Drosophila melanogaster: one gene and its partner. The protein of the gene in region 2 interacts with the protein of the main gene of each other region in a pairwise test. Each region holds a gene or a part of one and is shown on either strand. Other genes may lie near its edges.

What was found. The genes of interacting proteins can lie anywhere in the genome.
Region 1: the proteins of CG11583 (region 2) and CG1542 interact in binary tests that used the Drosophila melanogaster proteins (3 or more experiments, as listed by UniProt).

What each region holds. Positions count from the first base shown.
Region 1 is NT_033777.3:31,211,932-31,215,345, reverse strand, and holds CG1542 (uncharacterized protein), read right to left. Parts: upstream 1,889-3,414; 5' UTR 1,803-1,888; coding exon 1,737-1,802; intron 1,675-1,736; coding exon 1,591-1,674; intron 1,533-1,590; coding exon 759-1,532; 3' UTR 562-758; downstream 1-561. Other genes in the region: CG15561 (uncharacterized protein), read left to right, coding at 1-538; zwilch, read left to right, coding at 2,057-3,163, 3,221-3,414. UniProt on the Drosophila melanogaster protein: Required for the processing of the 27S pre-rRNA.
Region 2 is NT_037436.4:4,280,977-4,284,847, reverse strand, and holds CG11583 (uncharacterized protein), read left to right. Parts: upstream 1-2,030; 5' UTR 2,031-2,118; coding exon 2,119-2,238; intron 2,239-2,299; coding exon 2,300-3,250; 3' UTR 3,251-3,344; downstream 3,345-3,871. Other genes in the region: CG1316 (uncharacterized protein), read right to left, coding at 1-243, 307-501, 565-884; srw (shrew), read left to right, coding at 1,370-1,780; Ctl1 (choline transporter-like 1), read right to left, coding at 3,502-3,732, 3,790-3,871. UniProt on the Drosophila melanogaster protein: Required for biogenesis of the 60S ribosomal subunit.

The sequences.
Region 1 (3,414 bases), on a different chromosome or scaffold from region 2:
GGAGCAGCAGGAGCGCGAGATGCTGGAGAAGCTTCAGCGCAAGCTGAAGACTACGCCTGAAACCGAGCATCGAGCAGTGGAGTCAGTTGATGACAGTGTGGAGCAGTGTGATACGAAGGCAAAGAAAAAGAAAAAATCCATAGCGGAGGAGTTTTCCGAGGCATGTGAGGTTTCCCAACTGGAAGAGCCCATAAAATCCAAGAAAAAGAAGAAAGACAAGGCTGAGAAGGCAGGAAAGGAATCCCCAGCACATCAAACTCCAGAAGATCCCGTCAAGATCAAGAGGAAAAAAAATAAGACACGGGAGCCGGGAGAGGAAGACGGTGTGGAAGTCGAAGAGCCAGTGAAGATAAAAAAGAAGAAGGACAAGAGAGCGGATAGGCAAGCAGGGCTTGGAGCAACTGAAGGACTGCCCCAGGATGTTGAAACTGATGAACAAGTAAAGTCAAAAAAGAAGCGAAAAACGGCGGACTCTTCGGAGGAATCGGAAACTAGCACAAAACTAAAAAAGAAACGAAAGAACAAGGAGAACGTGTAATAGTTATAGTCCACTTTAGAATAAACGATGTTAGAAAAATGTAATTTATGAAAATTGCTCATGGAATTCTAAAATTCTATACGGAGTATTCCACATTTCGAAAGTAAGGCTGTGTGCACACAAAATGTTATGTATTTATGGGTCTAAAAAATCTATACAGGATTGGGGGCTTTATAAAACTAGAGTTTGGTCACCTAAATATAGTCGGCAGTCCCGGGGATTACTTTCTGCCCTTGGCCTTAATGCGTCGCGATTTGCCAAGCCGCTTGTTGACCGAAGCACCTGCCTTTACGCCCCGCTGGCGCCTGGAGGACTTGTCGCCATCCAATCCCGCGGAGGAGGACTTTGTGTTCCTCTTGAGGCCCTTCTTCTTGCCGCCGAAGCCGAACTTCTTGTTGCGCTTCTTGCGATTCTCGGCTGACTGCTTCTGCTTGGACTCAAGCGCCTTGGCGTCCTCCAGGAAGTCCAGGTTTTTCAGCTTGCCCTTGCGGAACTTCTTCAGTTTGTCCAGCATGTCCTTCTTCTCGGCTTCGCGTTGGACCTTGGTCTGTTTGGCCAGCATCTTGCCCATCTTGCGCTGCTCGCGGATCTGCTTGATGCGCTCGGATTTCGCCTGTCCTTGCTGTTTGGCCATCAGGTTGGCGCGCACCTTCTGCATGTGCTCGTCGGACTTGGCCATTTCAGCGAAGTAGTCATCGGGTCGACGAGTCTTTATGCCCAGCTCGTGAAGGCGGGGAATGGCCTCCAGAACAGCACTTTGCGCCTGTCGGTGGAAGAGCATCTCCCTCTTGAAGTCATTCAGGACGGGATCCTCCTCGGGCCGAATGTAGGGCAGCTTGGCGTTGCCCTTGAAGAGATTGGCCCGCTTCTGCTCGTGCTTCTCCAGCTGTACAGCGAGTTCCGGCGCCAGTGGAGCTAGTGTGTTGATCATGTCCAGGCGTTCCAGCCAAGGCAGTTGCATCTTGATAGCCTCTGTCTTGGCCAGCAGTTTGGTCTATGTGGGCAGGATTGGATTAGTCGATTCAAAAGCGGGCATCCAGCTAGCTACTTACCACATCGTTCACTTTGTCTCTCTGGCCATTGAATTCCACATTTAGGCCTGGTTTCAAGTCGCCTCGCTCAAATGCCGCTTGCAGCTGCAGGAAAAGAGTGGAGATTTTGGTATACGGGGTGTTCATTTCTTCGGTTCCTCACTTACCTCGGCATCTGAGTTATCCCCTGAGTCGTAGCCCGAGGCACTGTCCTCCATTTCAAAGTCCGACATGTCTGAATTAACTAAATTAAATCTGATCCAAATAAAAGAAAACAATTTCAACACGTGCGGGGATAAGAATTATCGATTGTTGCTGGCCTAAGTCTATCGGCTATCGATGTTGCAGTGTGACCTTCACGCGGCTTACTGCTAAAATTATTGAGGTGCACTAAAAAGCGAAGTGCTGTGTGACCGTTTAACCAATTCTCGCTTCGCTTTTCAAATACTGCCGCTTTTTGTTTCTGTTTTGCGAATTTGCTCCAAAAATGTCGGCTTCTGCGAACTTGGCAAACGTTTACGCGGAGCTAATGCGGCGGTGTGGCGAGTCATACACGATCACCTATGGAGCGCCACCCACCTACTTGGTGAGCATGGTGGGGGCTGCGGAAGCTGGCAAGAAGATTGTGCTGGTCTTTAAGGAGGATCGCAATGGAGCAGTGGCGAGACTCCGGACCACGCCCACCAGGGCAGCCCCAAAAAAAGAGGGCTCTGCGGACTTGGATCTGACGGGAAGTCCTTTGAAGGACGACTGCCTGGTGGACGCCATAGCCGACTTGTCCATCGACCTGCAGCTGGATCACTCGAATCCCTGGAAGCTGGAGGAGGAATATCAACGCGGAATACCCGTGGACAAGGCTAGGTCCATCGTGTGCTCCGAGTTCCTGCAGCTGGCCGAGGGACTCGGATCCGTGTGGTTTTTGTGCGACGGCAGTGATCTCGGGCAGACTCAGTTGCTCCAGTACGAGTTCAACCCTACGCACTTCTCCAGGGGAATACTTAGCTACCAGGGTGTGCGCCCTGCTTACTTAGTAACCTCGCAAGCCCTGGTGCGCCATCATGGCAAGACACCGGATGAAACTCTCATTGAAAATAGCTACCAGGTCAATCCCCACATGAGACTACGCTGCTCCTGGACCTCTAGTGCTGCACTTCCGCTCCTGGTGAACCTGAACGACTGCGATGTGGCTTTGAATCACACTTTTCGCGTGGGCGACTGCGGTCCTTTGACGCAGGACTTTATGAATCAGCTGCGCATTCTGGTCTACATACGCGAGGACATCGTCTCCTACCACACGGATGTCAAGCAGGGCGTCTCTCGGGATCCCACCTATCGTTGTGGCAGTGGCATTGACATGGACGAGCTGCGCGAGTCCATTAATCAGACAATGACAGATGTCTCTGGCCTTATAGGTCGGTATAGCATCAGCAATGCGGAGTTTGACATCGAAGATGTGGTGCAGAGGGCCAAGGTTCGCCAGCTCACGGATCTAACCGATAAGCTTTGGGAGCTGCTCAAGTGCTGCCACTCCTACAAGGATCTCAAAATTGCCTTTAGTATGCTCTTCCAATGTGCTGCACGGTGTAACATAGTAGTAAGTATGCTAATGCATGCAAACCACCACATATTATTCATGTTCCTCACCCCATAGAACACGCCTACTAACAAAAATCGACTTGCCAAGATTATCACCGAGTTGGCCAACCGTCGTCTGGCCATGCCTTGTTTAAGTGGGGCCGAGCCTCTGGAACTGCTTTTGGAAATTGGCCTGGAGAAGTTGTACAAGGACTACGAGTTTATCTACACCGAGAGCAAGATGTGCAGCACCAATCTGTTGAAGGATGA
Region 2 (3,871 bases):
GCCATGTCGTTGTTCTGCGATACATTCCAGTCGTTGTTGTAGCTGTTGCTGCCGCCGCCACCGCTGCTGCTACCGCCTCCATTGAAATTGGAATTGCCACGTCCCGAGCTGCTATACAAGGGATTGTCCTCGGAGGGACGGCCGTACTGGTCACGCTGTGTGCGTGTAGAACCCTTTGGCTCGGCAAAGACAGCTTTATACTTGGCGGAGCAGTTTTCGAAAGCCACAGCTGCATAGTAAAACCTGTGCATTGAGATTAGATTAGTTATGGCTAGGACAATTAGCAATGCTACATTCGCCACGCACTTGGTAAAGCGGACATATCCGAAGCCCTTGGGATTGCCATTGTTCTTCTCCTTGACAATTGTGACAGATTCCACATCGCCCCACTGCGAGAATTCCTCGCGAATATCCTCCTCGGTGGCTGTTTTGGGGATCACTATGAAGAGTCTCACGTACTTCTCCTGCTCGTTCTCAGACTTATTTGAGCCCTGATTGCGACTGGAAGAGGAGGATAAGAGTTAGACCATGGTTTTGGGCCAGTACTCTCGAAGCTAATCTTACTTGGCTGCCACCAGGACTTTAAGGGTGCGATCCATCTTGCCAATGGTCTTGCCGTTCATCTCCTCCTGTGCCTTGGCAGCATCGGATGTCTTGGAGAACTTGACGTACGCGATTCCCTTGTTCTCCTGGGTGTGCTTGTCCTTCACCACCCAGATATCCTCGATTTCGCCGTATGGCGAGAAGGCTTCACGGAAATCCTCCTCGGTGTGCGCCTTGTTGCAAATGATGAAGAGACGCGACATCGGCGGATCGTCGTCGTTCGAGTACTCCTGACCGCCACGTCCCCCGCCACTGCGCGATTGCGATCTATAGTCCGACATGGTTCTGATTTATCTATATTTTTTCCGCTCCGTTAAAATTATTTGCACTTCGACTTTTCTCGCTTTTGCCGCTTTGACACACAGCCGTATACAGACAAGATAGAGATGTGAACTGATCGATATACGTCTAAACTGTTTCGATGGCTGTGTACGCTGTGGTTCCTTTGATTGAACTGGTTCTTACACTATAACCGCATAAAATACATTTAAAAATCCATATTTCATAAAGTAATTTCTAACAGCTCGGAATGTTAAAGATCCCAACTGCGTTGCATGGATTAAAGTATTAATTTCCAATAATAAGTCAGCAAAAAGGGCCATTGCGGGCATTTAGGTAATAGTTATAAAAATAGATAAAGCCCTTAGTGGCAGCTGGTGAGTGATTTTCTACCTGAAACATTATACCACCTACTACCTGTACTATATTCTTATTTAAAAACCGTTTGTAAGTGCGCCAACACTTCAGTTGCATATTCCAAATCAATATGAAAACACTTCTGACTATCTACATTTTGCTATCCTTTGGAGAGTTAGGCCTCGCTAACATGGCACAAATGCGAAAGAAATCGCACACCGAGGAATTCGAAGGAATGCCAGCCTTGTTCAGGGCCATGTCCTCATCTCCAAACGATGGATACACATACAATTGGAGCGTGGTCTCGTTTTCAACGAATGGAAAACCAGGATCTGGTCTAAATTGCACCGTTTTGTATCTGGATCAGTGCACATCCTGGAATAAGTGTCGACAGACCTGCCTGAAAACCGGAGCCACCAGCTACAGGTGGTTTCATGACGGATGTTGCGAGTGCGTGGGAGAACTTTGCATGAATTACGGCGTAAATGAGAGCAGATGTCGACTATGTCCTGAACCCGGACTTGAAGATGAAGATGATTGAAAATCCCTTGTCAGCAGCTAGAGGCTAATTATCGGATGCTATACGTCATGCTAATTGTAATTTCAAATTAATTTATAGATTATGAAAATTTAAAAGTTTATTTAGCTTAACGAAAATAAAAGAAACCGTTAAAAAATATTTTACCTACATTTTTCTAGTTTTTGATTTAAAATTACGGACTTTTCAAATACTTCCCATAAAGTGTTGCAAAATACCACTATTCGGGTGCACGTGCTGTTGACGCCCTGGCTTTGAATGAATAGCCATCCCTGGTTGTTGTCACTCCACGTTTTGCCTTCGCACTGTTCAATTGTTTTTAATTATTTAAACTACAAAAAATGGGTCGCAAATTCCAGAATAAGAAAAAGAAGGCCGCGCCGCAGCTGGAGATAGTGCCGCTGGATGAAAATCCACCACTGCCGCCACAGAGATCGTCAGATGATGTGGTGCCCAAAAAGGCAAGAAAAGTGACTTTTTTAAACCCGAATTTCTTAACTAAAAACTGGATTTTATTTACAGGAAAAATGGGTGAACAAACAGCGCGTGCTGGTCTTCTCCGCCCGCGGTATTAGCCACCGGGACCGGCACTTAATGAAGGATATTAAGACCCTAATGCCGCACCACCGACCCGAATCCAAAATGGAGCGCTCCAAAACCTTGTCGGTGGTCAACGAAATGTGCGAAATGAAGCACTGCAACAAGGCGATGCTGTTCGAGGGACGCCGGAAAAGGGATCTGTACATGTGGATATCCAACACCTCGGGATCGACTGGTCCATCCGCTAAATTCCTCATCGAAAACATTCATACAATGGCCGAACTGAAGATGACGGGAAACTGCTTGCGGGGATCACGTCCGCTGCTCTCGTTTGACTCCAAATTCGACGAGCTGCCGCACCTTAAGCTGCTCAAGGAGCTGTTCGTGCAGACCTACTCCGTGCCCAACCATCATCCCAAGAGCCAGCCCTTCGTCGATCACGTTTTCACCTTCACCTACCTGGACAAACGCATCTGGTTCAGAAATTTCCAGATTCTATCCGAAGATGGCGGTTTGTCCGAAGTCGGGCCGCGTTACGTGATGAATCCTGTAAAAATATTCGATGGTTCCTTCACTGGCAAAACCATTTGGGAGAATCCGGACTACGTGAGTCCATCCAAACAGCGGCAGGTACTTAAGAAGGCTGCCAAGGATAAGTACGTGAACCGAGTGGAGCAAAAGGTCAAGCACGAGGCCACGCGACCTATTAGAGCCTACGATGGCATGGATAACGATGAGCTATTCGAGGACGATGATCCCGTGGAGACGGCCAAGATACTGGCTGCGATAGCCAAAAAGAAGAAGGAGGAAGCCGCCAAACAGACACCCAAATCGGCGCTGACCAAGAAGATCAAGGAGAAACAACTGCAGGCCGTGAAAGATGTGATTGAAAGAAAGAAGGCAAGAACCATTAAACGCGTGAAAAAGGTTTAAACACCTCATTTTACATTAAGATACAAAAACGATTAAACTTTATAAATACGTTTACAAACTGTGCATCCTAAGTTTGAATATATCAATAGACAAGATTACCAGTTATTATTAGTCCCACTGTTCTGCTTTGTACGTCGCGACGGAGTAATGGTATGTATATAAATATTAACATCCTAATGAGATGTGCGTTGAGTTTCGGGGGGTTCTGCGCTTGGAATACAAAAGCGAAAGCATCTAGCTGCGTCTTAGAACTAATCCGCCGACATGGGAGCTACCTCGGGATCGGACTGAGGGAGTCGGGTAATACTAAATGGCTGCTTGTTGATGGGCATCATTTGAACAACTTCGATGGGCGGCTCCTCGCCAGGCTGCAGCGGTTCCTCGCCTACCAGCTTGGCCAAGTTACTCTGTGCCCAACGACCAGAGCGACCATTCAGGGTCTTATCCTCGCAGACACAGAGGAATAAGGTATCCACTACCATCTATTAACGAGTCATAGGTTAGCCATAAGCTTGGTCGTATTGTAAAGGAATACCTACCTCAAAAAGCGAGAGGATAATGTGAGCAATAAAGAAGGAGAATATGATGATGATTATGACGGGAGCCATGTAGAAATTCAGA